4 linked regions of the Elephas maximus indicus genome follow. The protein of the gene in region 2 interacts with the protein of the main gene of each other region in a pairwise test. Links are inferred from orthologs where the notes say so. Each region holds a gene or a part of one and is shown on either strand. Other genes may lie near its edges. The genes, in order: RTN3, CERT1, ACTL8 and CSNK1G2.

Region 1 (7,680 bases), on a different chromosome or scaffold from region 2:
ACAACATTATCAAGGTCAATGTTAGTACCACATCAGCCTTCCCCGTACCTTGTAGAAGCTGTTCCGCATTAGAACAACATGGTACAAATTATAGTGGATTTTAGGTTTAGCCATAGCTTGGAAAGCAACCCCCGTAAGTGAGAAATGTGTTTGTTGTTGTTGCTTTTATGTCCTCAAATATCCAGGGTCATCAAAACAGGGAATGTTCAGAATGCTAAATATTGATAATACTGGTTACAGCCTTTCTGCCTTCAGCCATTTCACTTTGAGTTGAGCCTTCTTCGTGGTTCAGAAGTAAGCGACATGAAGACATGTCGGGAGCGGTAAGGGCCACACACTTTAGAGTCAGGCTGACCTGGCTTTGAATTCCAGCTCTAATGCTCACCAGCTGTGCAACCCTGGGTGAGTTATTTGTCCTCTCTGAGTCTGTTTCCTCATCTGCAAAATACTTCAAATACCCACATCACAGAGCTGTAGGTTAAATGAGATGCATTTGGTAATAATGACTGGTACTTAGTGCTCAAAAATTGGAACACATTATATTCATTCTGGAAAAGCAAAACCAAGTCATAACAAAGATACTCAAGTATTTTAGGAAGCGTAAAAACAAAATTGTTTTTGCAATAAGCATTCACTATGACTCAGATTCCAAAGCTTTCCAAAAACGCCTTATTTAGGTGCCAAGTACTGCGCTAGGCGTTAATGCTGCAACAACAAGCCAAGCACCATGCTAGGCATTAATGCTGCAACAACAAGCCAAGCACCATGCTAGGCATTAATGCTGCAACAATGCGTAAGACACATTCCTGTCCTTCAGGAACTCACAGTCTGCTGGGGTAAACAGCCAAGTAAATAGTTATCACCTGCCGTGATGATCACTTGCCGTGACATTTTTCAGCCTTCTCCCCTATCATCTACTTGCAATAATGGTATTTAAGCAACAGTCTGGGCACTAGGAAGGGACAGGCTTAAATACTGACATCCCTGGGCATCAGTTAAACATCTGTGCCTTTACGTTGTTCATATGTAAAGTGGAGTCACAAGATGGCCTAGAAGCTGAGGTGGGAAATAATTGTGTAAATGCCAGTCCTAAAAGGGGCAAAAGGAGCCCTCTCGGCAGAACAGTTAAGCACTTCGTTGCTACTCAAAAGGTCGGTGGTTCAAACCAGTAGTTGCAGGGGAGAAAGACCTGGTGACCTGGTCCCATAAAGATTATAGCCTAGGAAACCCAAGGGGCAGTTCTGCTCTGCCATATGAAGTCAGTATCAGTCGAAATCAACTCAACAGCACCTAACGACAACAACGTAGGGGCCAGAGAAGTGGTTATGCTCCAGTGAACACTCTAAAAATCCCATCTGACTCTATAGAAGAATCCTGATCAAAAGGGGGGAAATGCAGAACAGAATTTCAAATTCTCATGGACTCCAGACTTCCTGGAGCCATTGAGGCTGGATAAATCCCTGAAACTACTGCCCAGTGTATAAAACTTAAATCAAAAATATCCTCTGAAGTCTTCTTAAAACCAAACAATAAAAAAATAGGTTAGCTTAATTAGTAAAGAATGTCTTCCTTAAGTTTTTAAGCTCTTTTAAGAACTATCTATATGGGATCAAAGTGACAACAACAACTAAAAAATTAGATTGGAGCCTTAGGGGGCAGTGGGCTAAATGTGGGAGGAACAACTCAGAAAAGGAGGGTAAGAATGGTTGTGGAACCTGAAGAATGTAATCAATGACACTGAATCGTACATGTAGAAATGGTGGAATTGGCATATGTTTTGCTGTGTATAGTCTCAATAACAACAACAAAATAAATTAAAAAAAAAAAAATTCCATCTGAGCCCTTCCTGCCCCAAAACTTTCAAATTCTCGATTCCTTAGTGTAATATCAACGCTTCTCCACAGTCTGGTTCCAACTTTTCTTCCGCGTTTTATCTCCCTCTTGTCCCAATTCAAGACCTCGGCTCCAGCCAACTTGCTCTAACCATGCCCCAAACACCCTATACACAGTCACACTTCTGAGCTTTTGGCCAGCACAGCAGTGTGTGTACTGCACTGAGGCAGCCCCAGGAGGGGAGGGGCAAGAGAAGATGAAATCTAGGCCATGTTCTGCTAGACAAGCCAGCATGGAACTGCATGGCTAAGATGATTTTTTTTTTTCCTAATTCATCTGCCCAGAGGGGTGCCATTTTGTATACTTGCACAAAAGCAATCCCTGCATTTGCTTCACACCATCCTCTCCTGCCTCTAATGGCCTCCTTACCACTCCAGACTCCTGTCCATATTTTAAGGTTGAACGTCTTCATAAAACCTTCTCGAGCCGCTATAACTCCATGGTAATCCCTCCCCTATTTCAAATTCATACTACTTATTTGCGGCCCAATTTCATAGCACTATGGTTTTTTATTGCTTGGGGTTGTTTTTGGTTTTATTTAATTTGTATTATTTAGCTTTATGTGAGTATATTCTAAGCCCCAAGAAGCTTGAAGCTCGTTGAAGACACAGCAACATATTATATTTGTAGATCCCTCCAACGTGCCCATGATAGTGTTATACACAGAGCATATGACCAGTAAACATCAGTGAAATTAATCATGAATACAAATATGTAAACATGCCAAGCAGGAATCAGTCTCAGGGAGGTTGAGAGGTACAGCAAGAAAGAGCAGGAAGGAAAGACAGCTTCAGCAGTTGGGCCTAGCACAAAGGCCTCCGTTGTAAAAAAAATCCCTGAAACGTCTGAAGAGACCACCAAGAGCACATCAATGTCTTGATTTTCAGCTTCTTTTCTCTGCATCTCAGGAGCCTTGGTGACACAGTGGTTAAGCTGCTCGGCTGCTAACCAAAAGGTTGTGAGTTTGAATCCAGCAGCTGCTGCCAGAGAGAAAGATGTGGCAGTCCGCTTCCATAAACATTATGTGGCCTTGGAAACCCTATGGGGCAGTTCAACTTACACGGTTGCTAAGAGTCAGAATCCACTCAATGGCAATGATTTTTTTTTTTTTTTTTTTTTCCCCTCTGCTTCTAGATGCCATGGAAATGAGCTTCTTTGTCAGCCCAGGGTTTTCCAGATTCTAGCAATTGTGATGGCTAGGGACCAGCATCATTCATTTCCTTATCCAGCACCTAATGACATGAGTTTTTTATTCATTATCAGTGCGGGTATACAACCAGCTTGGTTATCACCTAATGACATGAGTTTTTTATTCATTATCAGTGCGGGTATACAACCAGCTTGGTTATCAGATCAGCTTGTATGTCCCTTTGCCATCTAAGGGGCACTTTGCTGCTGCATTATCAACTGATGCTGTAAGTGTCAGGGTAAGATATTTACTGCAAAGTTATTTTGGGAAATATTCTTCTGTGCTTTTTTCAGAGCATTGCAACTGCTAGGAGTTTTTTTTTTTTTTTTCCTGTCTGGGTTTTACCTGACCTTAAAAACTGTCAAGGACAGATGGAGTCCACTGCCTGTTCTAGAAGATTTCTACCCTTTGGATTGCCCTCTGTGGCCGCCTGGCTGACTACCTCCTGCTGCATGAGGTTGCATCTTTACAGGATCTGCTGATCCTGCAATTGCCCTTCAGGTCATTGATTGCTGCTTTAGCAATAACAAAGCCTATGGCCTTGATTTTTATTATTTCCAGGATACGTTCTCCTTTTTAAATGGATTATGCACCTGGCAAATATCTTGACCAGATGTAGGCTTTGAATTTGGCAAGCCAACCCAGGAGAAACAAGAAAATGAACAAAATTCAGTATAAGCTGGATGTCTGGTTTCAAATATATTTTCTACTAAGTACTCCTTTAATAAAAAAAACTCTATTATGTGAATTTTGTGTTATATTCTCAATTTTTAATACGTTATCATCCCCCATAACCACAGCCAGGATGTTCTTATTTCCTGGCTCTTTTTTTCCTCACCAGACCAGCTTCTTTTCCTTCAAAATATGTCTTCTCTGTCCGAAGGCCTATTCAGAGGCAAGGTCAAGCTTAAGACCCAAAGTGGACCCCTCTTTGGAAAGAGCAACGAGATAAGAATAAGAAGTAGGTTTGGCGGCTGCATTGCAATGTGATTGGAATGAGTAATGGTTTTTCACTCTGCTCAGCATCTTCCTCCACCTACCAAATGGGGGACTGTGCCTTCTCTGCCGCATGGTGATGACACATTACGACACGTCTAGATAAATTCATAAAGCACTTTTAAAGTGGGCCTGCTCAACACTATGGTTTTCAGTTTTCATAGTCTCAGGTGGGAATGCATCGGACACAAGACATCGGCTCTGTAATTTATGGGAAAGATACTTCCCATCTAATGGAAGCAAAAAGAAACGTCTCTCGCTAAAAACACAAACTACCGACCCTAAAAAAAAAAAAAAGTTTACATAAATAAATATGAGGAAACACCTCCCGCTTCGGCCGCAGGGGCGGGCGGAGCTCGGAGCACGGCCACGCCCCTTGCTCTGGCCCTCCCGGGGGGCGCGCCCCACCCCGGCCGCTCAGGCCGGGCGCTAAGGGAGGCCAGCTTTGCCCCGCCTTTCCTGCAGAGCGCGGAGGGACAGTTCTTGCGCCTGCGCTCTGAGCCGCTTGGCTTCTCCGCGAGGCTCCCGCCCGCCCCCGCCGTGCGCTCGAGGGCCCTTTGTGCGCCTGCGCGCTCTCCCTCCCTCCCTCCTCTCTCGCGCTCGCCTGGGCTCAGTCGGTCAGTCAGTCGGAGTCTGTCCTCGGAGCAGGAAGGCTGAGGGGACTTCGGAGCGCCAGCTGCCCGATTAGTTTATTTCCCTTCCCTCTCTCCCGCCCCACATCTCTCCTCACCCGTCTCCCGCCCTTGCTCGCGCAGCCATGGCGGAGCCGTCGGCGGCCACTCAATCTCCGTCCGTCTCCTCGTCGTCCTCCGGGGCCGAGCCCTCCGCGCCCGGCGGCGGCGGGAGCCCGGGAGCCTGCCCCGCCCTGGGGGCGAAGACCTGCGGCTCCTCCTGTGCGGGTGAGGAGAGCCGGGGAGCCCCTGCCCTCGGGAGGGAGGGTGCTCGGGGCCGGGGGCTCAGTCGGGGGGCGCAGTGGGGTGAGGGGACCGGCAAACTACCCTCGGCTGCTGAGGGATTCGGCCCCCGGGAATGAGCGTTTGGAAAATGGGCAAAGGGGGAGGGGAGCCTAAGGTCGTGCAAGCGATGAGGAAATAACGGGGTGTGGGGAAAACAGGTTGGGGGTGGGGAGGTAGCCTAGAGAGTAGGCGTTAACACCAAGATCTGTCTGGTGGGGGAAAAACACCAGTTCGGGGGAGGGTGGGATTAGATGGACTATTGCTGCAAACATATGACGAGCCAGGTTCGGGGCGACGAAAGCGCAGTCGTCTGAATGGGGTTGATTTAGTGGAGGATTAGAGAGACTGAGGCTATAAAGAGGATCGGGACAGGTTGGTGATAGGAGCAATAATTAGGATTTTGAGGGGATGGAGGTGGAAAGGTTGCAGTGCAGATTTGCAGACAGGTGTTGTCATAATCAGACATGGTAGTCTTCAGTGTTTTTTGTGTTTTTTTTTGCCCGTGGGGAGAATGAGGAAGTTAAACCTGTTTCTTTACTGTTTTTTGTGCCTTTAATTTTTGGTGGCATGCCCGATTTAAAGAGGCGTGATGAGAATAGCTCGGGGAAGATTTGGGAGGGAACAGCTGGTGGGCCAAGATGGATCCGTGGCTGCCTCTGCAGCACAGCCCACTCTTCCCTGGCGCGGCGTGGGGGTGGGCGTATGCAATCAGTCGCATATATTCTAGAAGGTAATAAATAAGGAGCAATGAGAAGCCATCAAATGTGTTTGGGTTTTGTATTTTTTTTTTTTTTTGTGGGCTATTATCAATCGCATTGTAACAAAAGGGGGCGTTTGCTGCAGAAAGGGGGGCGGGGGGAGAAATTCAGACAAAGCAGGAGCTGGTTGAAGCCCCTTCTCCTCCCATCTCTGTGAAAGACGAGAAGCGAAGCTGCAGGCCGCCTTTAGTTTCCATTGTATACGCGTCTGCCTGCTGGTGGGAGCTGGCTGGCAGGCTCCCCTCATGCAGAGATCTGCAGTGCAGATGCCGTCTTGAGGGGAAGAAAATGCACCATGAGCAGGCAGGTGGTGGTTCTTAAAGGAATTGAGTCTTTGAATTAAAAAATAAAATAAAATGCTTTTTGTTAAAGGAAGGGCCATAAGCTAGATAATTTTGCTCTCTAGTTATGTTAAAGGATTTGAGATATTTTAAAATGGTTCTTTGTCTCCTTTGCCAGAATCTTGGGTTGATCGTTCTAAAGAAATAAGATTTCTGATCTTAGCTTTAAATATATTCTCCCCGTGCTGATAGTAGATTTCCACCTGTTTAAGAGCTTTGGTGCCTGGTCGGATTTTCCAGTGTGGTTATGGTCATTTCATTGGAAACAGACCGTATCAGAGGACGCTTTTGCAGGTCAGGATTCGCCCTCAACGGAATGAGGCAGCAAATTTGGAACCCTCGTTTCCTTCACACCACCAGCGTTTCTCCAAATTTTTGTGTTCTGGGCAAAGATCCAAATGAACAGCAGCTTCTTTCTTATTTAGCGACTTGGTGTTTTGGCTTTAATTACTTGTCTCTGCTTACTGTTTGGTCCTTTGGTGCAAACCTTTTGATTTTTCTGTATTTGATTCAGACCTGAGTTTTTGGGATTGCCCTTTAGTGCTCAAGATAAGACCAGTGTTAAATGTTGAGGGTCATTCTTATTAGCAGGCATTAAAATTTAGTCCTAACATTTGCAGCCAAATGGTGAAATCATTTGAAAATTGGCTTCTTTTTTTTCCCTTAATGCTCTGTAATGGAAGAATTGGCTTCTTTAATAGTCCAGTGAAATGAAAATATTTTGTTCACAGACACGCACATGTACACCCCACCAAGCAAACCCTGAATTGGAAATACATATTTAATATGTAATCTCTTTGGTTTGTGTTTCTGATACCATTTATCCTTGTCACAATTTTTATTTATTCTTGGCTTTACCTTCCCCCCCGCCCCCCGCCCCGCCACTGTATGATGGTGGAAAGAATGCTGAAATTATGTGTTTTACAGAAAGTAGTGGAATTTATATTTTAAAGTGTTGTCCCAAGTACACACATTAAAAGTACATAGGTTTTCATTACATTTTCCCAGTACTATTAAATGCCTCAATGTTTATCCATTATTTCTTAGTAAAGTTTTATTACAGAATTTTTATTTATCAGATTAGTCATAGGCACTTTGTCACCTTTGGACCTTGACAAGTATTTGTTGAATGACCATCAAACCTATGAGCTAGAAAGTAACACCTGAAAAATGAACTAGGTAGACACTCTGCCTTAAACTCTTACCAGTGTGTATGTAAGTATTGGTGAGCCCAATGCAAGATCCTCATTTGTCAGATCCCTACTGGAATATAAACGTTTACCTTAAGATACCGCAATGTATAGTCATTTCATTGCAGAAGCTCTTCCTCCTTGCAAAATGGTTCCTCTGCCTCTCATGGAAAATGTCTCAGGCTTCAGTATCATGAAAATAAGATGACGTCTGTTATTCCAGAATTTAACCTATGAAAATGAATGCTAAAAAATCTACCAAGTGTTGCCGTCAGCCTTCAGCCTCATGTGCTTTCACCAAGCTCCTGTTGGTTTTAGAGCCTTTTAAAACATAAAAGCAGAAGAGTAAGTAGTTGC
Region 2 (7,906 bases):
AAAATTCTATCATGGAATCTCCAGTGTCATTTCTATCACCAAGGCCATATTTTCCAACTACCAACCCCTCTTTGTTTCCAACTTTCAAAGTCCAATCACCAGTAATTATCAATGAGTCTTGATTGCATGCCTGATCAATTTCAGATGGCAGAAATTGGTAAAAATATACAATTTCTTCATCTTTAGCCTTAGTGGTTGGTGCATAAATTTGAATAGCAGTTGTATTAATTGGTCTTCCTTGTAGATATATGGATATTATCCTGTCACTGACAGCGCTCTACTTCAGGATAGATCTTGAAATGTTCTTTATGATGATGAATGTAATGCCATTCCTCTTCAATTTGTCATTCCCAGTGTTAGGGACTGAATTGTATCCCCCAAAATATCTGTCAACTTGGCTAGGTCATGAGTCTCAGTATTGTATGACTGATTGTCATCTGATGTGATTTTCCTGTGTGTTGTAAATCCTATCCCTATGATGTAATGATATGGACTAGCGGCAGTTATACTGGTGAGATCTACAAGATTAGATAGTGTCTTAAGCCAATCTCTTCTGAGATATAAAAGAGAGAAACAAGAAGAGAGACAGGAGGACCTCATACCACCAAGAAAGCAGCGCCAGGAGCAGAGCACTTCCTTTGGACCTGAGGTTCCTGTGCTTAGGTATTCCCAGGCCAAGGGAAGACTGATGACAAGGGCCTTAATCCACAGCCAACAGAGACAGAAAGCCTTCCCTTGAAGCTGGAGCCCTGAATTCGTACTTCTAGCCTACCGGTTTGTGAGAGAATAAACTTCTCTTTGTTAAAGCCATCCACTTGTGGTATTTCTGTTATAGCAGCCCTAGATGACCAAGACACCCAGCATAGCAGACCATAAGTTTTTCTGATTCAAAATGGCCAATACCAGTCCATTTGAGCTCTCTGGTATACTGACCTACAGAATACATTATTTATTCATACAATTCTTCCCACTTTTGCAGGTATTCTGAAACAGAGAAAAGGGCATGATCTTTTAAATCAGAGAGAGAGACCTAGGTTCAAATCCTAACTCTGCCACTTAGCTGTATGATATTTGGCAAGTGTATCCTCTCTAAGCTTCAGTTATCCTTAAAATGGGAATAATGTTCACTTTACATAATTTCTAAGAAATAAGTTGGATAAAAATAAGTCAGATAAAGGTAAAGTATCTGAATAGTACCAAGACTTAACATTGTAAAGATGTCATTTCTTCACAAATTAAGTGTATTCTCAATCCAAATCTCCATAAAATTTTTTCATGCAGTTTGACAAGCTGTTCTAAAATTCTAAATTTCAAAATTCTAAAATAAAACCAAAAACCAAACCTGTTGCCATTGAGTCAATTCTGACTCATTGTGACCCTATACCCACAAAACCCACTGCCGTCAAGCCAATTCCTACTAACAACAATGACCCTGTAGGACAGAGTAAAACTGTCCCCAGAGTTTCCAAGGCTGTAATTTTTATGGAAGCAGATTGCCACACCTTCCCTCAAGCTGCTGGTGGGTTCAAACGACCAACCTTTCAGTTAGCAGCTAAGTGCTTAACCACTGCTCCACCAGAGCTTCTCTCGTATTAGCATGTTGTTGTTGTGCACCGTGAGTTGATTCCAACTAATAGTGACCCTACAAGACAGTGCAGAACTGCTCCATAGGGTTTCTGAGGAGCTGCTGGTAGATTCCAACTGCCGACCTTTTGGTTAGCAGCCTGAGCTCTTAAGCACTTTGGCACCAGAGCTCCATAGATATACACAAATACATTAATGAAAAAGAATGGAGTCCAGAAACAGACTTAAGGGGTATATGGGGTTTTGTATATCATAAAGGTAGAAAGGTATGTATACACTATACAAGCAAGTATTGGGTCAAGTGGTCGACCATCTCTAATAAAAAACTAAATTCCTACCTCATTCCGTATACACACACACACACACCTCAGATGGATTCAAGTTCTAAAAAAAATTACTAAAAGAAAATATACACCATTTATAAGTGGGTTGCAAAAGGCCCTACCAAAAAACCAAACCAAACCCACTGCCATCTAGTCGATTCCAACTCACAGCGACCCTATACAACAGAGTACAACTAACTGCCCCATAGAGTTTCCAAGGAGCACCTGGCAGATTTGAACTGCCGACCTCTTGGTTAGCAGCCGTAGCACTTAACCACTACGCCACCAGGGTTTCCAAAAGGCCCTAAGTAAGAGAAAACTCAGAAGCTATCACTCCCACCAGAGAATAAAGAAAGTTCATATATTTTATTTTTGTATTGCAGTTTCTCCCCATGAACAGTAATGAAGTGAATCTCAACCTTTAATGTTGCACTCTAATCACTATGCAAACATCTTTTCTGCACTTAAATCAAAAAAATTTTTTTATAAGTATAAAGGAACAATGTGGCCAGAACCTATTTAAAAAGACAATTTCCCTCATATTAATTCATATACAATGAAGCAATTTCCTGAGTGAAGGAGCACCTTAATTGATTTAAGTGCTGGTGGTTTACAACCACATACGATTAACCTAAAAATGCATAAAATGCCATCTTATAGAAGCTCAATTTAAAAACTGTAAGAATGGCTTGGGGGCAGTATCTGATTTCCTCCAACCACACAAAGAGTAAGGGAAACCAAGAGCAACAGCCCAAGGCTGATTCCTATACGGTGGAGATCAGATCCACCTCTTCTCTCTGCCCTCTCCACCAATTCTAATACCAACTGTCCCTCCCACGGCACTCTCTCTACTGGGTTTCATAATTCTTTGCAATAGCCACACAGAACTCACAGACCACACTCACAATTATGGGGTACATTAGGGAAGTAACAGTTATAATTCAGGCTCAAGAACACTCAGGATACAGTTCTTCCATCAGGATAGCCTCTCCTCAGCTGTGCTCACAGGCATGTCTCTCCCAGGTCCTCAGTCTCTGCCCAAAGGCACTCAGCTTTCTGTCTCTGTGGGCTAGGAAGCCCACCATGCCATCTCCTGCTGCTGGATCTATGCTTCTGGGTCTCTTCTGCTGGACTTGCCTTCCTTGGTCATGGTAGGCTCCTCCTCTCTGCTCTGGAACTGGCTCTCTTTTAAGGCAAAACTGACCAATCCTCTTGGCTTAGGCTATCACACAGTCCTGCCCAATTACCTGGGTGGGAGTTACAAGACCATGGCTAGAAAGGCCACACAAAAATAATCAATCCGTAATCAATTGCACTGTAAAAACAAATTCACACTATGCTTTCATGATTTTAAACTGTATTATAAAGTGGATTTCTCAATAATTCATAATCATTTACTAAAGTTCAATGACATTTTAAAACCTAGAGCTTGAAAGAATCAGAAATACAAAGTCTATATTACGTAATTGGAAGGCAAAGTAAAATTTACAGTATTCAACACTTTTGGCCTTCATTTGTAATCCATTAAGGAAGAAAAGTGTGCTAAATGGCTTTTTTTTGGAGGGGGATGATAACTTCGGGATTATGTTTTACTATGTTGACAACGGATTTTTAAAAGCTTTCTCTTAAGGTTATTCATCCCAATGGCTTTCAGTTATACATTATCAATTGATTTCACATAATGGGAAAACTATTTGTAAATGGTTACAGCAGATCCAGCATCTATAAGTGGAATGGAAGATATCAAAGGTACTTCTCTGAGACACTTCCCATCATTCCTTTTTTTTCTTCCAGATGTCATTTTCCTCTGCCTCACCACATCCCCACCAGTTATTTCAGGCCACAGTGCCTTTTCCCCAGACTCAAAATTTCACTCCTATTCCTCCCGTCCCTGCAGTAATCAGGTAGGTATTTTTTTTTAAAGTTTAGTAAGGAATTTTATTGTTCGCAACAATCAGGAAATTGACAAGATGGAAAAGTAGTAAAGGCAATAACTGAGGCTAAAAATGCAAAGGTTTCACAAGTTATCTTTATATTCAAAAGGACTAGACAGGATCTGTTAGATTTGCTATGGGTGTTTCCACTAATTCTAGTCTTGAGACAAAACCAGTCTCCCATTGCCTAAGCCACTTATTCAAGAAGACAACTGTACTTTGGTCTTATACGGAAAAACTTTCTATTTCAATCATTCCTACTTTCCAGGGAACGCCAAATCGGCAGCGATGGTTAAACTGTGTCTCAGGAAGACAGTAATTTACAATTCAGAACACTTCAGATTACTATCTCACATTCTCAAAAATTCTTCTAACGTGACGCATTCTCTGACAACCTCAAACTTTCTAAAAACACTAGAGAGCTAACAAAATGCTTAGTGCTGCTCTCGTGATAAGGGGCTGAGGACATTCTTCAAAAGCGGAAAAGGTGAAGCGTTAAGTCTGACATCTGAAGAGAGAGAGAGAAAACCTTCCAAATTTGCAGTGGTGGCCTGGCGGAAAGAAAACATCCTTTGTCACTACAGAGATAGCAAACCCTCGTCCCGTGGACAGCTAAGGTGCGAGCGTCCGGTACATCCCGCCCAGGCAAGAGGCAAGATGCTACCGGCTTTCGGAAAGCAGTCACACGCTGCAGGCCCAGAAACCTCAGTGGCGAAATCTCACATCCGGGCTCGCAACCCCGGCGCGTTCGTCACAAACACACTAGGTAGAAATAGAAGAGAGGCCGAAAGGACGGGTCACACAGCTTTGGTACGCGAAGCCCACCCACTGCTTGACCGTCCCCAGGACGACGAGCCCCACTCCCGCGAAACACTCACCGGCTGCCTCAAGCTCACGACTACAACTCCCAGGAGGCTGCGCGGCTAAGGAGCAGAGTCCCTCCCAGCATGCAGCACGGCAGCGCCCCTGTCCCTCCCTCTTTTTTCTCCACCCCACCTACTTTTCTACCCGTCGTCGCTCGGGAGAGCCATAGGTAAGGTGTGGGAGGTGGACCTTACGCCCTCGGCGTGCAGCGTCAGACTTTGGGAGGGGGACAGGGAGGGGAGCGGAGAGAGAATGGGAGGACGAAGGGGAGGGGAAAAGGGAGGGGAGGGTAAATAGTGGGCCAGGCAGGAAAATGGCGACCGTAGCAGAGGTGTGAGTGGATCCGGGTCTCCGTAGCTGGCTTTTTCTCTTCCTCCCTCTTTCCTTCCCTGTTTAAGACTGGCATCCAGGGGATCGAGTTCAGGTGGCGGCACCGGGCGCAACGCAGGGGTCACGGCGACGGCGGCGACGGCTGACGGCTGGAAGAGCAGGCTTCCTTCGCCGCTCGTCCTCCTTCCCCGGTCCGCTCGGTGTCAGGCGCGGCGGCGGCGGCGACGCGGCGGGCGGACTTCGTCCTTACTCCTGCTCCCCCCCGCGTCCGAGCGGGCACTCTTCCCTTCGCCATCCCCGGACCCTTCACCCCGGGGACTGGGTGCCTCCCCCGACGCACCTCAGGGAGCGGAGGCCAGTCTCTTGGTTGGCTGTCGCGCCTCCATGTCGGATAACCAGAGCTGGAACTCGTCGGGCTCAGAGGAGGATCCGGAGACGGAGTCCGGGCCGCCTGTGGAGCGCTGCGGGGTCCTTAGCAAGGTGAGCAACCCGCGGGGCCGGGAGACCGCAGCCCGGACTCACTTGCTGCGAGGCAAGCCGCTGAGGGCTTGGGGTGCGGCTGGCCCGGCGGCACGGACCGTCCCGGGGCGGGGGCTGCGGAATGTGTCGGTGTGGGGGGCTGAGTCCTGCCGCAGGAGTGCCCGCGGCAGGGGTGTGGTGGGGGCTGCGAGAGACTGTCCTTCCTGGCTATCTAGAGGCTCAGCGGCGAACTGGGGGACCCGTGTGCAAGCCAGAGCTCCAATTTGGGAGGCGGGATGCGCAACATGACTTGGAACCTAGGGCGGCAGCTGCCCCGGGTGGAGGAATCCGAGTTGGACAACGGTGACGTTAGAACAGCTCGGCACGGGGGCGGTGTAATTAGGACTCCCCCGAACGAGTTTAGTCTGGAGATGCTGAGCAGAGTCGGGTTGGGGGCTCTGCGGACGCGGCTGTGTAGGCAGATGCCGGAGTAACTCGGCTTAGTGCTGAAATCTGAGGTGGTAGGCAAGATACGCCCCGTTAGATGTAAAAGATATGAATGAGGAGGACTTCTATACTGTTCTTCCCTAGCCCGGTACCCTTGTCCTGGAAAAAAAAAGGAAAGCACTGTTTAATTGACACGGGATAGTACCAAAAAAAAAAAAAAAATTATAATGGAGACCGACCTTTGGCCCAGGAAGAAGAGAATTATTAATAAAATATTCTTGTAGGCAGGGTTCCGGGGTAAGGAAGACACTCTTAACTTTGCTGTATTTTTTTTAATCGCCTTTTCAAAATTTTAGAAAAGTAGATAATCATTTGTAGGACTATAAGGCTATTAATGAGTTAAAATGGATGAGGCCCTTTTTAAGAGAGAAAGTGTGTGATTTTTTGATAGTACTTTTTTTTTTTTAAGTGTTTGCTATGGGAAGATTCACGTAGCCTTTTCTACTTCCTTCTTCCTTCCTGTTAAACTTCTAGAAATGACTGGAGCTTGCAGTTAACTTGCAGAGAAGGGGAGCTGGGGCCAGTGCCTTAACAATCTGATCATATGGTACTAGGTCATGTGCAGCCACTGACTATTAAGAAATCCCTCTGCTTCCAGTATTCATACTTGGCTAAGCATTCGGACCTCATTTATGGAATGTTTCATATTAGGCTATTAGAATGTCTTTAGAAGGCTGGTGAGAAAGGGCCTCGGAAAGGAATGTAAGAGCAAAATCTTGCAAGTGTTAACTTATTTGTCCAGCAGAAAATTATGCTGTGTGTTGGTACTGTGATCATTCTTGAAATTCAAGTGAAAGGTTTTCAGTAAAGTGAAGCTCCCCAGGGTTTCTTTAGATTAAACATATCTTGTAACTAAGGAATCTGTATTGAACACAGTGCATAATAGGTACCTGTATACATTTTCAGGTGGGAGTAGTTATGAAATGGGTTCTTTGCTTCTAAATGGTTCTGGCCATTTCATCACTTTTTCTCATTATGTGAGAAACACACTGCCGTATTAGTGCTGTGCTGGTGTTAAGTATTTTACAAAACAAGTTGTACTTTTGATCTACTGATTGTCACTTTTTTGCTCTTGAATATTCACTGTATATAGTATACATTATAAAAAAAAAAAAAAAGACTGTCTCTTTGATATTTAAATGCATAGAAATGTAGTATTTGACCTCTTCTCTGGTGCAGTGGGTTATGGTGCAGTGGTTAAGATGTCAGCTCCTAACCAGAAGGTTGGCAGTTTGAATCCACCAGCTGCTCTTTGGAAACTTATGGGGCAGTTCTACTCTGTCCTTTGCAGTCACTATGAGTCAGAATCCACTCGACCGCAAAAAGTTTGGTTTTTGGTTTTTATGGAAAGTGAATAGCTTCAGTTTTTACTGTTGCTCCATATATGGAATTAATAAGAATATATGTTTCAATGCAATTGTCGTAAACAGCTATGAAGGAAAATTTCCTGAAATTTAACAACTTATGGTTATATATAATGTTTTTTGGAAGCTTTTTGATGAAGGGTATTTTATCTTAATTATATATGCTGATTATGGCACATGTTTTTAAATTCAAATGTACTTATATATTTTGACAGGAGCCGTGGTGGTGCAGTGGTTAAACATTTGACTGCTAACCAAAAGGTCAGTAGTTCGAATCCACCAGCTGCTCCTTGGAAACCCTGTGGAACAGTTCTACTCTGTCCAATAGGGTGGCTGTGAGTTGGAATCAACTCAACGGCAAAGATTTTATATATTTAGAGCCCTTTGTATTCACCTGGTAATTTAAACAAGAGTTAGAACTCATATCGGTTTTTTTTAAAAAATATTGTGTTTTAGGTGAAAGTCGACAAAGCAAGTTAGGTTCCCATTTAACAATTTTTATGCAAATCGTTCAGTGACATTGGTTACAGTTTTCACAATG
Region 3 (8,210 bases), on a different chromosome or scaffold from region 2:
CTGGCAGGTCGAACACCTGGGGACTGAAGAACATCTCAGGAGCAAGTCGCTGCATGGGCGTCAGCTCCACTGGTGTGCCATCGGGGAGCTGGTAGATGTTGCTCTCGTCGGAGCCACTGGGCAGGCTCTGACGAAAGTCCAGTGCCTCTGCCAAATTCTGTGGCACATAGCACTTGCCCATCTGGGTCGTGGCGACCGTCTCTAGCTGAAACAGGTTGTGCCGGTTGCAGTCTTCCTTAAAGAGGCTCTTGAAGAGGTAAGCAGAGAGATCTTGGCCGGCAAACTCCAGCGTCTTACAGCTTGAGGGCAACGGACGACCCAGATGGAAAGATTTTACACGGGTCAGGCCATAGCCGGAATCAACCACTACGCCAGTCAGGAGGCCAGAGGCATACAGTGACATCTCCAGCTGGTCAGCCAGGAGGACAGAAGGAACATCCAGCAACTCAAACATAATCTGCAAGAAGGGAGATACATTCAGTGCATTTTCCCCGAACACAGGGCTTGGACTGTCTTCTATTTCCCCAAGACTATACGACATGCTCAGCTCTCAAAGTGGACAACCGCATAGACCTCCACTCGAGGAGACTCACAGGCTGGCCCTAGGATGTCGGTTCTGGGGTTCTGGAGCTCATCCTGTGGGGACAAGAGGAGGCTCTAGAGAGCTAGTTATGGAGCTGGATCTGCACTCAGAGCTTGTTTGATGGTGGCCCTTCAGACTGTGTTGGTGGAGAAAGGGGAAGAGCTGTCAGACTCCAGGAAGTGGGCAGGTTTGCAGCCTGAATCATCCCTTTAGAAGAGATTATAAAAGAAACAAGCACTGCACATTCACCGCTGCCTCCAAAATGTGGGGGTAGAAAGAAAGAAATGCACTCACTGCCTTTTAGGGGAAGTTTTTTTTTTTTTTTTTTTTCATAATAACTCTCCAAACTTCAAGGTAAAACTGTAATTTCAATATTCAGGGTTTGGCAAAATCTCTGGGCTGACTTTTTCCCCCTGCCCTATCAACCCCTGGATCTATACCCCTCTTGCCATTGAATTGATTCCAACTTGCGGTGAGCCATGTGTTATAGAGGAGAACTGCTCCATAGGGTTTTCTTGGCTGTAATCCTTACAGAAGCAGGTTGCCAGGCCTTTCTTCCACAGTGCCATTGGGTGGGTTTGAATCGCCAGCTTTTTTAGGTTAGTAGTCAAGTGCAAACCATTTGCACCATCCAGGGATCCTCTGGATATTTACAGCCCCCCGCCCACCCACCCAGTCCCCACCTCTGGCAGGGATCTGAACCTCTGGGTAGAGAAGGACTATAACTGTCCACCAGTCTGTGGTCGTTGGCCACTTACTTACCTCTTCAGGACCCAGCAGGCCTATCTTGTCCCCTCAATGGAAGGGGTATCCCCTCCATTCCCACTCTCAGAATATTGTTCCCCCCCAATCATCCACTTCTTAAACAGCAGCCAGGGTCATCCTTTTAAAACAGAAAATCAGATATCACTCTTTCTCTTGAAACTCTCCAGGAGCCTCCATTCACTGAGAATAGGGCTCAGCAAACTTTTTCTGTAAAGGACCAGATACTGTTGCCAGGTTTTGCAAATAAAATACAGGATGCCCAGTTAAATTTGAATTTCAGATAAACAACAAATACTTTCTCAGTATAAGTATGTCCCATATAATATTTGGGACATACTTATACCATAAAATTACTTGCTGTTTATCTGAAATTTAAATCTATCTGGGCATCCTGTATGTCATCTAGCAAACCTACAATTGTAAATTTCTTAGCCTTTGCAGGACATACAGTATCTGTTGCAATTACTCAACTCCACTATTGGAGTGTGAAAGAAGTCATGACAATATGCAAATTATCGGTGTGGCTCTAGTCCAATAAAGCTTTATTTACAAAAACAGGTGGTAGGCCAGATTTGGCCCATAGGCCGTCTTACTCTTGATTTCGAATAAAACCCAAACGCTCCCCCAAGCATCTGCTGACCTCACCATCCCACTTGCCTCCTGCCACCCCCTCTCCCACTTACTGGGCTCCAGCTTCACTGGCTGAAGTCAACTCCTCAGAGAAGCCCTCCTTGACCACCTCTCAAAGGCGCTCTTTCACTCCCCATTAGTCAGCTACCTCTCGATATTTTTTCTAGAACTGATCACTATCTGAAATTTGTTTTGTTAGCTTATTCGTGGTCTGAGTTTTCCCTCAGAATGTAAGCTCTGTGAGGGCCAGAACACTTGTCTGTGAACATTTATGGCATCCATGAATGAATACCCAGTATCTCCTCTCTTGCGCCCTATCCACAGAATATTTTAATTGCTGTGTCTTCATCCACAGGAGGAGCCTCTATAAGCCCCTCTTCCCTAGCACTGTGCTGGGCACATGCTAAAAAAAAAAAAAAAACTGGTTGCCATCAAGTCGATTCCAACTCATGGCAACCCCGTATACTATAGAGTAGAACTGCTCCATAGGGTTTTCTTGGTTATAATCTTTACAGAAGCAGATTGCCAGGCCTTACTTTTGTGGCACTGGTTGGGTTGGAACTACCAATCTTTAGGTAAAGTAGCCAATCGCAAACCACTTGTGCCACCCAGGGGCCTGGGCACACATACTGTTGTTGTTATGTTGTTATGTGCAATTAAGTCAATTCCAACTCATAGCAACCCTACAGAACAGGGTAAAACTGTCCCATAGAGTTTCCAAGGAGCGGCTGGTGGATTCTGACTGCTGACCTTTTGGTTAGCAGCCTGAACTCTTAACCACTTCGCCACCAGGGCTCCAGGCACATACTAGATTCCCAGGAAGTGTTGTTGGACAAATGCTTCAAGAAGCTGAATTCTCAACACCTGTCACATCTAGACACAATGCTCCCCAGTATAGCCTCCTCCCCAGTCCCAGTGAAGGCAGCCCAGAGAAGGTCTTACCTCCATAGTCTTCCGTCGGTCCGAAGGCTCCCTCAGAGGACTCTCAGTGATCATCACTGGGAAGTCCTCTTGTTCCTGCCTGTGTTTCTCCAAGACAAATGTCCAGATGTGCTCCACGCCCTCCCAGTTGAGCACCCGGCCGCGCTCTATGGGGTAGCTGAAGGTGTCAGGATGGCAGAAGTCAATGCCCAGACTAACGCGTCTCCGGGCGTAGCTTGGGCCGGGGTTTTCCCGGCACGGTATGTAGTTCACAATGCTCGGGAAAACCATCTGGGGTTCATTCCAACCTGACAACCCAGCCTTCAGAAAGCCAGACCCGTGGTCAATGATAATGGTTCTTGAGCCCATGGCAGAGGTAAATGGAGAGGTCTTCTGGATGTGGCTCCCCGAGAATGTCTGGAAAACTAGGGCCACCTATGGAAAGATGAGGTAGGGGATATTGATGAACACTTTCTAGGCCACCATAGGCTGCTTCCCAGCCCCACATTCACAGCCTCAGGCTCTCCCTGAAGCTTGCTTATTCCCCCTTCCAAGCCTTGCACAAGCTCTAACCTGTGCTTGGCATGTTATTCCATCTCAAACCCCCAATCATCCTACAAGGCCCAACTAACAGGCCTTACTTGGGAAGGCCTGCCAGTGTCCTCGTTCTCATCAAGTTTCCTCTGTTGCACCTATTATACCAGGTGGCATTTCTACTCCACAAGAGCAAAGGTTGGGTCTTATTAGTTTTTGCAGACTTAGCAAGAAGCTTGGCACACAGGAAGAACTTGGTGAAAGTTGACTGCCTGAGCAGAGGACTTGGGGAGCAGGAAAGAACAGCCTCAGGAGCCACTGCCTTCAATACTAATATTAGTATAGTAGTAACAGCAGCAGAAGCAGTAACAATGATAATAATGATGATGATGATAGTAGCTGCAGCTACTATTTCTAGAGTACATACCCTCTACCTACCACTACAAGGAACATTTTACATATTATACTCAACTATGTAAAATTGCCCTTTGTATAGGTCAAAAATGGTTATAAATCAGCAAATTCTTATGACTCAGACTAGTATTTTGACACATTTAATCTTTAACATAAGTCTGTGAGGCATGTCCCATTTTTACACTCATCTTACAGATGGGGATCTTGTATCCAGAGTATATAAAGAACTCTCAAAACTCAAAAATAAGAAAAACAAACAACCCAGTTCTAAAATGGGCAAAAGATTTGAACAGACACTTCACCAAAGAAAATATATTGATGGCAAATAAGCACTTGACAAGATGTTTAACATAATTAGTCATTAGGGAAATGTAAATTAAAAACACAATTAAATACCACCACATACCTATTAGAATGGCCAAAATTAAAAAGACTGATCATACCAAGTATTGAAGAAGATATGGAGGGACTGGAACCCTCATACACTGCTGGTGAGACTATAAAAACATATATCTATCACATGACATAGCAATTCCACTCCTAGGTATTTACCTAAGAGAAATAAAAACTTATATCCACACAAAAACTTTTATATGCATATTTATACTTGCTTTATTCCAAACCACAAAAAACCAGAAACAACCCAAATATCCTTCAAATGGAAAATGAATAGGTAAACATCCATTCAATTGAATGAATTCATCCATTCAATTGAATTGAATTCAATTCAATCCATAAAAACGAACAAATAGCCAATACATACGACATGGATGAATTTCTAATGCATTAAACTGAGTGAAAGAAACCAGACTCAAAAGGCTACGTACTGTATGATCCCATTCATATGACATTCTAGAAAAAGCAAAATTATACCAACAGAAAACAGATCAATTGTTGCCAGTAGCCAGAGGTGGTGAAAGGGATTGATAACAAACAGGCATGGTGGAATTTGGGAGAGGTGATGCAATTATAGGTCTCTAAAAAAAAAAAAACCAAACCAGTTACCGTTGAGTCGATTCCAACTTATAGTGACCCTATAGGACACAGTAGAACTGTCCCATAGAGTTTCCAAGGAGCACCTGGTGGATTTGAACTGCTGATCTTTTGGTTAGCAGCTGTAGCTCTTAACCACTACACCACCAGGGTTCCCAAGGTGGTGCAAATGGCTTGTGCTTGAGTACTAACCTAAAAAGTTGGTGGCTCAAAACTGACAAAAGAACAACCTGAGAGGATGCAAATTAACCAAATAAGAAATGAAATGGGGGACATTACAACAGACCCAACTGAGATAAAAAGGAGCATAACAGAGTACTATGAAAAACTATACTCCAACAAATGTGCAAACCTAGAGGAAATAGACAAATTTCTAGAAAAACACTACCTACCCAAACTAACACAAAATGATGTTGAAAATCTGAACAGACCTATAACCAGAGAAGAGAATGAAAAGGTAATTTTAAAAAACTTCCAACAACAACAAAAAAAATCCTGGCCCACATGGCTACTGGAAAATTCTACCAAACATTCAGAGAAGAGCTTACACCACTACTGCTCAAACTACTTCAGAACACAGAAAAGGAAGCGATATTTTCGAGTTGATTCTACAAAGCCAGCATAACTCTGATACAAAAACCAGGCAAAGACACCACAAAAAAAGAAAATTACACACCAATATCTCTCATGAATATAAACGCAAAAATTCTCAACAAAATTCTAGCCAACAGAATTCAGCAGCATATCAAAAAAATAATATGCTACGACCAAGTAGGATTCATACCAGGTATGCAAGGATGGTTCAATATTAGAAAATCAATCAACCTAATCCACCACATAAATAAAAAGAAAAGAATCACATGATCTTCTCAATCATGCAGAAAAGGTATTCAACGAAGTCCAACACCCATTTCTGACAAAAACTCTCAATAAAATAGGTATAGAAGGAAAATCTCTCAACATAATAAAGGGCATATATGCAAAACCAACAGCCAACATCATTCTTAATGGACAGAGGCTGGAAACATTCTTCTTGAGAACAGGAACAACACAAGGATGCCCTTTATCACCACTCCTATTTAACATTGTGTTGGAAGTCCTAGCTAGAGCAATGAAGCAAGAAACAGAAATAAAAAGAAAAAAAGGGCACCCAAATTGGTAATAAAGAAGTTAAACTCTCCCTATTTGTGGATGATATGATACTATACATAGAAAACTCAAAAGACTCCACAAGAAACCTACTGGAACTAATAGAAAGATTCCTCAGAGTAGCATGATACAAGATAAACATACGAAAATCAGTTGAATTCCTATACACCAATAAAGAGAACGATGAAAATGAAATCAGGAAAAAAAACACCATTTATAATAGCCCCTAAAAAAATAAAATACATGGGAATAAATCTAACCAGGGATGTAAAAGACCTATACAAAGAAAACTACAAAACACTACTGCAAGAAACCAAAAGAGATCTACATAAATGGAAAAACATACCATGGATAGGTAGACTCGATACTGTGAAAATGACAATTCTACCAAAGCAATTTACAAATACAATGCAATCCCAATTCAAATACCAACAACATTCTTTAAAGAGATGGAAAAACTTACCATCAACTTTATACATAAAGGGAAGAAGCCCCAGATAAGTAAAGCACTATTGAAGAAGAAGAATAAAGTAGGAGGACTCACACTACCTGACCTCAGGAACATAGTATAAAGCTACAGTAGCCAAATAGCCTGATACTGGCACAAGGACAGATACATTGACCAAGGGAACAAAATTGAGAACCCAGATGTAAATCTATCTACCTAAGGTCACCTGATCTTCAACAAGGACCCAAAGTCCATCAGATGGGGAAAAGACCGTCTTTTTAATAAATGGTACCAGCAAAACTGGATGTCCATCTGCAAAAAGATGAAACAGGACCCATACCTCACACCATATATAAAAACTAACTCAAAATGGATCAAAGACCTAAATATAAAGCCCAAAATAATGAAGTTCATAGAAGAAAAAATAGGATCAATGCTAGAGGCCCTAATACACAGCATTAACGGGATACAAACTGCAACCAACAACACACAAGTTCCAGAGGATAAGCTAAATAACCAGGATCTTCTAAAAATTAAACACTTAGGCTCATCAAAAGACTTCACCAAAAGAGTAAAAAGAGAACCTACAGACTGTGAAAAAAAATTGGCTATTATAAATCAGACAAATTTCTAAAATCTACAAAAAAATACCATCTTACTCCAGCATTACTGGCACGAATCAATAACACAGGCCCTTGTTGGCAGACTACAACTGTTTCAGTTATGTGGTGGAAAGGTGGGTACTTGATGTTTGACACCACTTTGCCTATTAAACAGGGTCCTCGCCTAACCACATCGGGGCCCTAAAGACTGGTGGCTCCACCCACATAACCTAGCCACCCACAACAGGGGTCCAAGGATAAGTGGTACCTCCCAGTCCTTACAACCAAAAGCATTGGGTGCCCATGGTCTGGCTGCAGAACCCACCCACCTGTGCACTCTAGGGAACAGGGATGTGCTTTCCTCATAGATACTTGGGGGACAGTTGTCAGTCCCCTGCCTTGTTCAGAGCGTGACCCCCTGCTGCAACCAGATACCTGCACCTACACCAATCACCCCTGCCCCTCTGAGGCTGTAGGACAGAGCCTGTACCACACACTTGATGACCAACCACCTGGACACCTGAGCTGAATCCATACAAGAAAAGTGAATAGACTCCTAGGCTCATATACCTGGTAATAGCTCTAGCCATCTGGTGACAGGACGTTAGAGCTTTAAAGGCAAAAACAATCAAGCTAGCTCACTCAAGCAGCCTATCTGGGCATCTCAAAACAAAACAAGGCAAGAAACTAGGATATAGTAAGCAAACAAAATAAACCAATAAATAACTTATAGACAGCTCAGAGACAACAGTCAGTATCAAATCACATAAAGACGCAGACCATGAGTGCTTCAATAAGCTCTGGATGAAGGTGTCTTCCTGGAATTACCAGATGGAGAATACAAACGACTAATACAGAACCCGTCAAGACATCAGGAACAAGATCAGGCAAAACGCAGAACAAGCCAAGGAACACACAGATAAAGCAGTTGAAAAAATTAAAAAGGTTATTCAAGAACATCATGAAAAATTTAACAAGCTGCAAGAATCCATAGAGACAGCAATCAGAAATTCTGAAGATTTAACAATAAAATTACAGGATTAGACAACTCAATCGAAAGTCAGAGGAGAAGAATTAAGGAAGTGGAAGGCAGAATTAATCAGACTGAAGATAAAACACTTGGCACCAATATATTCAAAGAAAAATCAGATAAAAAGAATTTCAAAAAAAA
Region 4 (7,615 bases), on a different chromosome or scaffold from region 2:
CTCACGCCCCGTAATGTGAACGTCCTCCCCAAAGCAAACTCGGGGCGCGCGAGGAGCGAGCGTGTCGCCAGGCCCAGCGCAGTGGCCCGCCCGGATCCGGTGTTTCCGGAAAACAAAGCCGGTGGCCAGGACGGAAGGGGCGGCGCGGCCGCAGAGAGCCGGGAGTTCCCGAGCAGCGCCGCAACAGGTCCACCCGACCCACCCGCTCGCGGGACCCCGTCCCCACCCCAAGTCGCCCTCGCCCCGTCCTCAAGAGTCCCAGGGCCCAAGAGGGGCGAGAGTGCGCCGTGTGCGGCAGGCAGGGCTGTCGGAGGGGGAAGGGACCAGGTGGGGCCAGGTGGACGGGGAGGGGGGTGGGCTTCAGTATCAGAGGGAGTGGAGGGGGGACGTGATGCCACACCAAGTGGACAGTAGAGCCGGCTGGACCTGGACTGGGGGGGTCAGTGGAAACATCGGTCTGGAGTATGAGGGTCAGAGGTGGGCAGCAGGACGGGGAGCGGGGGGGGGGGGACGACAATGTTTGCAGTGGCAGGACCAGTGGGGGCGGCTGGACCTGGAGTGGGAGCGTCAGTGGGGACAGGGCTGGAGTGGGCCGTCCATGAAGGTGGTGGACAGGGAGCCTGAACTATGGGGGTCGGTAAGGCTCACTGAGGGCGGCGGGTCTGGAGTAGCGATTCAGGAGATAGGACTAAGCAAGGCACGGGTGTGTGGACTGGGGAGCTGGGGTCTGAACTAGGGGGCGGGGATCTGGACCACCGGGGTGAACGCAGCAGGGGACACGGGACGGGGGTCCGGACCACGGGGGTGAACGGAGCAGGAGACGGGGGTCCGGACCACGGGGGTGAACGGAGCAGGGGACGGGGGCCCGGACCACGGGGGTGAACGGAGCAGGAGACGGGGGTCCGGACCACGGGGGTGAACGGAGCAGGGGACGGGGGTCCGGACCACGGGGGTGAACGGAGCAGGGGACGGGGGCCCGGACCACGGGGGTGAACGGAGCAGGAGACGGGGGTCCGGACCACGGGGGTGAACGGAGCAGGGGACGGGGGCCCGGACCACGGGGGTGAACGGAGCAGGAGACGGGGGTCCGGACCACGGGGGTGAACGGAGCAGGGGACGGGGGTCGGGACCACGGGGGTGAACGGAGCAGGGGGCGGGGGTCCGGATCACCGGGGTGAACGGAGCAGGAGACGGGGGTCCGGACCACCGGGGTGAACGGAGCAGGGGACGGGGGTCGGGACCACGGGGGTGAACGGAGCAGGGGGCGGGGGTCCGGATCACCGGGGTGAACGGAGCAGGAGACGGGGGTCCGGACCACCGGGGTGAACGGAGCAGGGGACGGGGGTCGGGACCACGGGGGTGAACGGAGCAGGGGGCGGGGGTCGGGACCACCGGGGTGAACGGAGCAGGGGGCGGGGGTCGGGACCACGGGGGTGAACGGAGCAGGGGGCGGGGGTCGGGACCACCGGGGTGAACGGAGCAGGGGGCGGGGGTCGGGACCACGGGGGTGAACGGAGCAGGGGGCGGGGGTCGGGACCACCGGGGTGAACGGAGCAGGGGACGGGGGTCGGGACCACGGGGGTGAACGGAGCAGGGGGCGGGGGTCGGGACCACGGGGGTGAACGGAGCAGGGGGCGGGGGTCCGGATCACCGGGGTGAACGGAGCAGGAGACGGGGGTCCGGACCACCGGGGTGAACGGAGCAGGGGACGGGGGTCGGGACCACGGGGGTGAACGGAGCAGGGGGCGGGGGTCGGGACCACCGGGGTGAACGGAGCAGGGGGCGGGGGTCGGGACCACGGGGGTGAACGGAGCAGGGGGCGGGGGTCGGGACCACCGGGGTGAACGGAGCAGGGGGCGGGGGTCGGGACCACGGGGGTGAACGGAGCAGGGGGCGGGGGTCGGGACCACCGGGGTGAACGGAGCAGGGGGCGGGGGTCGGGACCACGGGGGTGAACGGAGCAGGGGGCGGGGGTCCGGACCACCGGGGTGAACGGAGCAGGGGACGGGGGTCGGGACCACGGGGGTGAACGGAGCAGGGGGCGGGGGTCGGGACCACGGGGGTGAACGGAGCAGGGGGCGGGGGTCCGGACCACCGGGGTGAACGGAGCAGGGGGCGGGGGTCGGGACCACGGGGGTGAACGGAGCAGGGAACGGGGGTCCGGACCACGGGGGTGAACGGAGCAGGGGGCGGGGGTCTGGACCACCGGGGTGAACGGAGCAGGGGGCGGGGGTCGGGACCACGGGGGTGAACGGAGCAGGGGGCGGGGGTCGGGACCACCGGGGTGAACGGAGCAGGGGGCGGGGGTCGGGACCACGGGGGTGAACGGAGCAGGGGGCGGGGGTCGGGACCACCGGGGTGAACGGAGCAGGGGGCGGGGGTCGGGACCACGGGGGTGAACGGAGCAGGGGGCGGGGGTCCGGACCACCGGGGTGAACGGAGCAGGGGACGGGGGTCGGGACCACGGGGGTGAACGGAGCAGGGGGCGGGGGTCGGGACCACGGGGGTGAACGGAGCAGGGGGCGGGGGTCCGGACCACCGGGGTGAACGGAGCAGGGGGCGGGGGTCGGGACCACGGGGGTGAACGGAGCAGGGAACGGGGGTCCGGACCACGGGGGTGAACGGAGCAGGGGGCGGGGGTCTGGACCACCGGGGTGAACGGAGCAGGGGGCGAGGGTCCGGACCACGGGGGTGAGCGCAGCAGGGGACGGGGGTCTGAAGCCCGGACTCGGAGGGGGAAGGGCCTGGACCGTGGGGTTCGCGGGGTGGGGCGCCGGGGTGGCCACCCTCGGTCCCGGGGCCGGGCGCGCGTCCGCGGCGAGCGCGCGTCCTTACCTCTCGGCCTCCGCCGTGGCCCCGGCCAGCCGCGCTCGGCGGCCCCGACTCGCCTCAGCAGCGCGCCGCGGCCCTGCGCTCCGGGCCCAGCTCCCGCTCCCGCTCCGGCTCTGGCGCCCGCTCGGGCCCCCGCTCCCGTGCCGCCGCCGCCTCGGCCGGCCTCCGCATGTTCGGGGCGGGGGCCGCGTCCCCGCCGCCCGGCTCCGCACCGCGTCTCGAGCGCCGCCGCCGAGGGCCCGCGCGCCTTACGCCGCCAGCGTCGGCCTGGGGGCGGCGGCCGCGACGCGCGCACAGCGCAGCCGCCGTGCGCCGGGCTGGGCGCGCGCGGGGCCGTAACGTCACAGCGCGGGGTGGGGCCGCGCCAGGCGGCGGTGCAGCGCGTCGGCCCGCCGCCCGCTTTGCGGCATCGGGCGGCTCCGCGCGACAGCTGCCGCGCTTTATGGCCGCTCCGGGGCCGCAGAGCCCCTGCCCGCGGGGCCCCAGGAGGCGCGCGATCGCGGAAGGAGCCAAACGGCTCTTACGCTCGAGGGGCGGGGCTTCCGGTGCCCGCCTGGCCCCGCCCCGCCGTTGCTATGGCGACGCGTGGCCGGTCGCCCTTGCGCCACCGCCCAGCCGCCGCATGTGTGGCGTCATGGTCTCGCCACCTGACGTCACCACGGGGCGGGATTGTGCGTGGCGCGGCTCCGTGGGCGCCCGAGGGAGGCTGGGGACCCCGAGTGGGAAGCAGTGGGGCCTCCATCAACGTTGCAACGACAGGCTGCGGAACGCCGTGGTCCAATGCAGTGCCGTGGCTTACGGCCAAGAGAAATTTTTCACCTGAGTATCATGGCCAGGCTGCCGACCAAAAGGTTGGGGGTTCGAGTCTACCCGGAGGCGCCTCGGAATGAAGACCTGACGATCTACGCCTGAAAATCAGCCCTGGACAACCCTGGTGTTGAGTGCCGTTGGGGGCCATCACGTCGATGCCAACTCATAGCGACCCCATGTGACAGAGTAGAAGTGCCCCGTGGGGTTTTCTAGGCTGTAGTCTATGGGAGCTGTTGGGTGGGTTCAAAGCCAAGGTTTCCGTCGGCAGCCGAGTGTTTAACCATTGGGTAACCGGGGCGCCTTTATTGAAAACCTCAGGGAGCACAGTTCTGCACACATGGGATCCCGTGAGTCGGGGCTGACCCAAGGGTAACTGGTTTTTTTTATTTCGGGTGGTGCAAACAGTGAACGCTAACTGGAAGGATGGAGGTTCAAGTCCACCCAGAGGTGCCTCACAAGAATCTTCTGGTGATCTTCTGAAAAAAATCAGCCACTGAAAACCCTGTGGAACACAGTCGTAGTCTGCACACATAGGGTCACCACGAGTTGAGGTCCACTCCACGGCCGCTGGTTTTTGGGTTTCATGACCCAGGAGGGGGAGATGATTCTAAAATACGGTGCTGGTGGGCTTGTCAGGATCGTGACATACGCAAGACCAAGGAGAGGGTCCTGGCACAGGGAGCGACATCGGCCCCTGCAGGGTGCCATGTTCGAGATGCAGCACCCGAGGCACCCGGTCAGTGGTCTGCTGGGTCTCTGGTGCCAAGTACAGGACCTGGCCCACAATGGACGCTCCATAACTGTGCTTCTCAAAGTACTTGCTCATACATCGTTAGACTCGCTCCGTGACTGAGGAGGGACCCTGGGGAGGGGGTGACTGGCCAAGGCCCCACACATGAGGCTCTGCTCTACCAGGACAGGGCCTGGGAGCGGAAGGGCAGAAACGCTCATGGCCTCCCGGTCTTTAAAGCTGGAGGAATCATAGCAATTCAAATATTTATTAAGTGCCTGCCAATGTCTTTAAGAATAGAACAGTAAGCTAGTCTCTTGGCACCATCTCCCAGAGAGTTCTCAGTCCTGGGGGGCTGGGGGAACAGGACAATGGACAAAATGATTTCAGACAGTGTTATGGGGTGGAGCATGACAGGGTGGCTGAGGGTAGGTCACTCCTTGGGCTGGATGGTTGGGCAGGGTGACCCCTAAGAGCTGAAAGCTGGATGGGAGAAGATAGGAAAGTATCTCGGACTTTCCTTATAGTGCTGCCGTACTGTAGCTGGATAGGGCTGCCAAAAAAAGGCGGGGCTCGGGGGGGTAGAATTAAACTGGAATGTGAAGGCTGACACATTTTAGGGACAAACTAAGCCCGTGCAAAGGAACCCTGGTCACACAACAGTTCAGCCCTCAGCTGCAAATAGAAATGTCAGTGGTTTGAACCGACCCAGCAGCTCCAAGGGAGAAAGACCTGGGGATCTGTTCCCATAATGATTACTGTCCAGAAAGCCCTATGGGGAAGCTCTAATTTGTAATGTGGGGTCGTTATGAGTCAGAATTGACTCAGTGGCACCCAACAACAGCAAGCCCTTGGAGAGGCAGGTTCTAGGTCTTGTTCAGCAGCAATGTGGCAGAGGAAGCCTGAGCCATGTTGGTCTTCGGCACTGTACCCTCTTCCCTTCCCTGACGGCAGTGAATGAGTAAATGCCACGGACCTCACAGGTGCTGGGAACTCAGGGTTGTGTCCGCTCGGACTTCCTTTTCTCCTCTCTCTTAGTCTTTTCCATTCTTGGCGTTGAGGGAAGTCAGCTTTCAGGCACTCAAGCCCCCGGGAGTACAGCAGGCATCTCCTCCAGTGCATTTTGCATTGTAAAAGGTGGGGCAGCTCCTGCAGCTGAAAGAACAGGTAAAGTGAGGCCAACCCTGCGGTTATGCCAGCCAGATGCTGTGTGACCATGGGGAGGGCCACTTACCCTCTCTGGTTCTCTTCTCTTCGTCTGTAAATTGGGGCAAACAAGACCCCCATGGGTATATTGTAGGAATCCGTGAATTACTGAATGAAAAATTACCAGCATGGAAACTTCTGCCTCAGATGACCATATTTCCCTCTAATCACTTGAGTTCTCTAAAAATTGAAATGGCTTCGGTGCTTCCTCATTTATACGCCACTTCAAACATGGGCCACTTGTCCTCACTCCTTTTGGCTTTGTGGAGACGCTGTTTGAGAAGGGTGAGCGTGAGAAACTGCCCCTTCAAAACTTTCAGTAAAATAATACGAGCGTTGAAAAAACGATGAGCTGGTCTCCCCATTGCTGCTTCGCCCCAAGAAAGTAAAGCGATATCCCAAACGAAAAACCAAACCTACTATTGTGGAGTTGATTCCAACTCACAGCAACCCTACAGGATAGAGGAGAACGGCCTCATGGGGTTTCCAGGGCTCTAATTTTTACGGAAGACAGACTGCCACATCTTTCTCCCACGGAGTGGATGGTGGATTCGAACCACGCACCTTTCTGTTAGCAGCTGAGTGCTTAAACACTGTGCACCAGGGTGCCCCCAAAAAATCCCAAACAGCTGTGAGGCAGGGAAGGAGACAGACAGGAAGCACTCCCTTCTGTTCTGTTCCCAAATTCTTCAAGGAGACATTTCCATCTGTCTCCACCTGCACGGGGGACACACTGGGTGGCACAAATAGGTAAGTGTTGGGCTACTAAACAAAAGGTCGGTGATTCAAATCCACCCAGGTGCCTCAGAAGAAAGGCCTGGCACTCTACTTCCAAACAATAACCCATTGAAAACCCTGTGGAGGGTAGTTCTACTCTGACACACACCGGGCCACCCACGAGTCAAGGCTGACCAACGGCAAGTGGTTTAACTTCCGTGGAGGGACCCTGAGCTCGGCTGCTAAGCAAAAAGTCGGCAAACGACCGACAGGCAGTGGGTTTGGGTTTGGTTTTGGAGGGACCCTGAGGACAGTCCAGTGCCGATCCAGGCACAAACCTGAACTGCTCAGCTGACATGTGTTGAATGGAGTTGAATTGAATTGACTTAGTGCTCCCTCGAGCCAGGCCTCTCCCCCCACAGGAAGGGGCTCTGACCTGTGTATTTCCCATTTTGCAGAGGTTTGGAGAAGTGAAGTGACTTGCCTACCACTGTCACCTGGATTCAAACCTTCAACACAGCCACCCTGAACTGGCGGGCAGTGCTGCCTCCAGGTGTTCTTTCGGGGGCGGGGGGCCAGCACCTCCAGCCCAGTCCCAGTGGCTACACAGGCCGAGGTCCCTCTGCCCTGGGACAGGGTCCAGCACAGGGCCTGTGACTAAGTCTGTCACATCAGTTGTCACTCTCGGAGAGCCGGGAGCTGTGGAGGAGACGCTGAGGCTGGGTGACAGCTGTCCACGAGCTGGGCCAAATCCTCAGGCCCAAGAGGCCACGGCACGCAGGACGACTCCAATTACAAAGGGCTTTCCCGCCTGCTGGGGCTCTGCGCCCAACTTCGGGCCTCCAAGGGGGCATCAGTCATCATCTCACGGTCATGGTCAAGTGCAGGGGTCAAGTGACTCACATCCAGGGCTGAAGATGCATGTGACCCTGAATCCGCTCCAGGAACAAGTGGTGTGAAGCTAACTCCCAGGAAACGAAATTCCCAGGAGTGGTGGGTGAGGGTAGGGGCTGTGCCCCGGAGTTACCCGTTGGCGGGTCACTGGGTCTCAGCCTCCTTGTCCATCTAAGGATGGGATCGGATGTGGTCTGAGCTGCCAGATGGACTTCCTCCCAGCGCCTCTGGATTTGACTGGCGATGTCTGCTTTAAGGACAAGAGGAAAGTGACGGAGTCGAATATTACGATATTCTGTGCTTCATAGGATTTTCATTGGCTGGTTTTTGGACATAGATTGCCAGGGCTTTCTTCCTAGTCTATCTTAGTCTGGAAGCTCTGCTGAAACCTTTCCACCGTGGGTGACCCTGCTGGTGTTTGAAATA

Evidence for each region.
Region 1: the proteins of CERT1 (region 2) and RTN3 interact in binary tests that used the Homo sapiens proteins (3 or more experiments, as listed by UniProt). The link is inferred for Elephas maximus indicus from reciprocal best matches to the Homo sapiens genes CERT1 and RTN3.
Region 3: the proteins of CERT1 (region 2) and ACTL8 interact in binary tests that used the Homo sapiens proteins (3 or more experiments, as listed by UniProt). The two-hybrid records come from large-scale screens. The link is inferred for Elephas maximus indicus from reciprocal best matches to the Homo sapiens genes CERT1 and ACTL8.
Region 4: the proteins of CERT1 (region 2) and CSNK1G2 interact in binary tests that used the Homo sapiens proteins (3 or more experiments, as listed by UniProt). The two-hybrid records come from large-scale screens. The link is inferred for Elephas maximus indicus from reciprocal best matches to the Homo sapiens genes CERT1 and CSNK1G2.

Annotation. Positions count from the first base shown.
Region 1 is NC_064825.1:126,879,664-126,887,343, forward strand, and holds the start of RTN3 (reticulon-3), read left to right. Parts: upstream 1-4,669; 5' UTR 4,670-4,835; coding exon 4,836-4,977; intron 4,978-7,680. UniProt on the Homo sapiens protein: May be involved in membrane trafficking in the early secretory pathway. Inhibits BACE1 activity and amyloid precursor protein processing. May induce caspase-8 cascade and apoptosis.
Region 2 is NC_064820.1:80,067,400-80,075,305, reverse strand, and holds the start of CERT1 (ceramide transfer protein), read left to right. Parts: upstream 1-4,788; coding exon 4,789-4,874; intron 4,875-5,103; coding exon 5,104-5,515; intron 5,516-7,906. UniProt on the Homo sapiens protein: Shelters ceramides and diacylglycerol lipids inside its START domain and mediates the intracellular trafficking of ceramides and diacylglycerol lipids in a non-vesicular manner.
Region 3 is NC_064821.1:57,104,484-57,112,693, reverse strand, and holds the start of ACTL8 (actin-like protein 8), read right to left. Parts: upstream 3,269-8,210; coding exon 2,921-3,268; intron 458-2,920; coding exon 1-457.
Region 4 is NC_064821.1:1,699,251-1,706,865, reverse strand, and holds the start of CSNK1G2 (casein kinase I), read right to left. Parts: upstream 3,040-7,615; 5' UTR 2,836-3,039; intron 1-2,835. UniProt on the Homo sapiens protein: Serine/threonine-protein kinase. Casein kinases are operationally defined by their preferential utilization of acidic proteins such as caseins as substrates. It can phosphorylate a large number of proteins. Participates in Wnt signaling.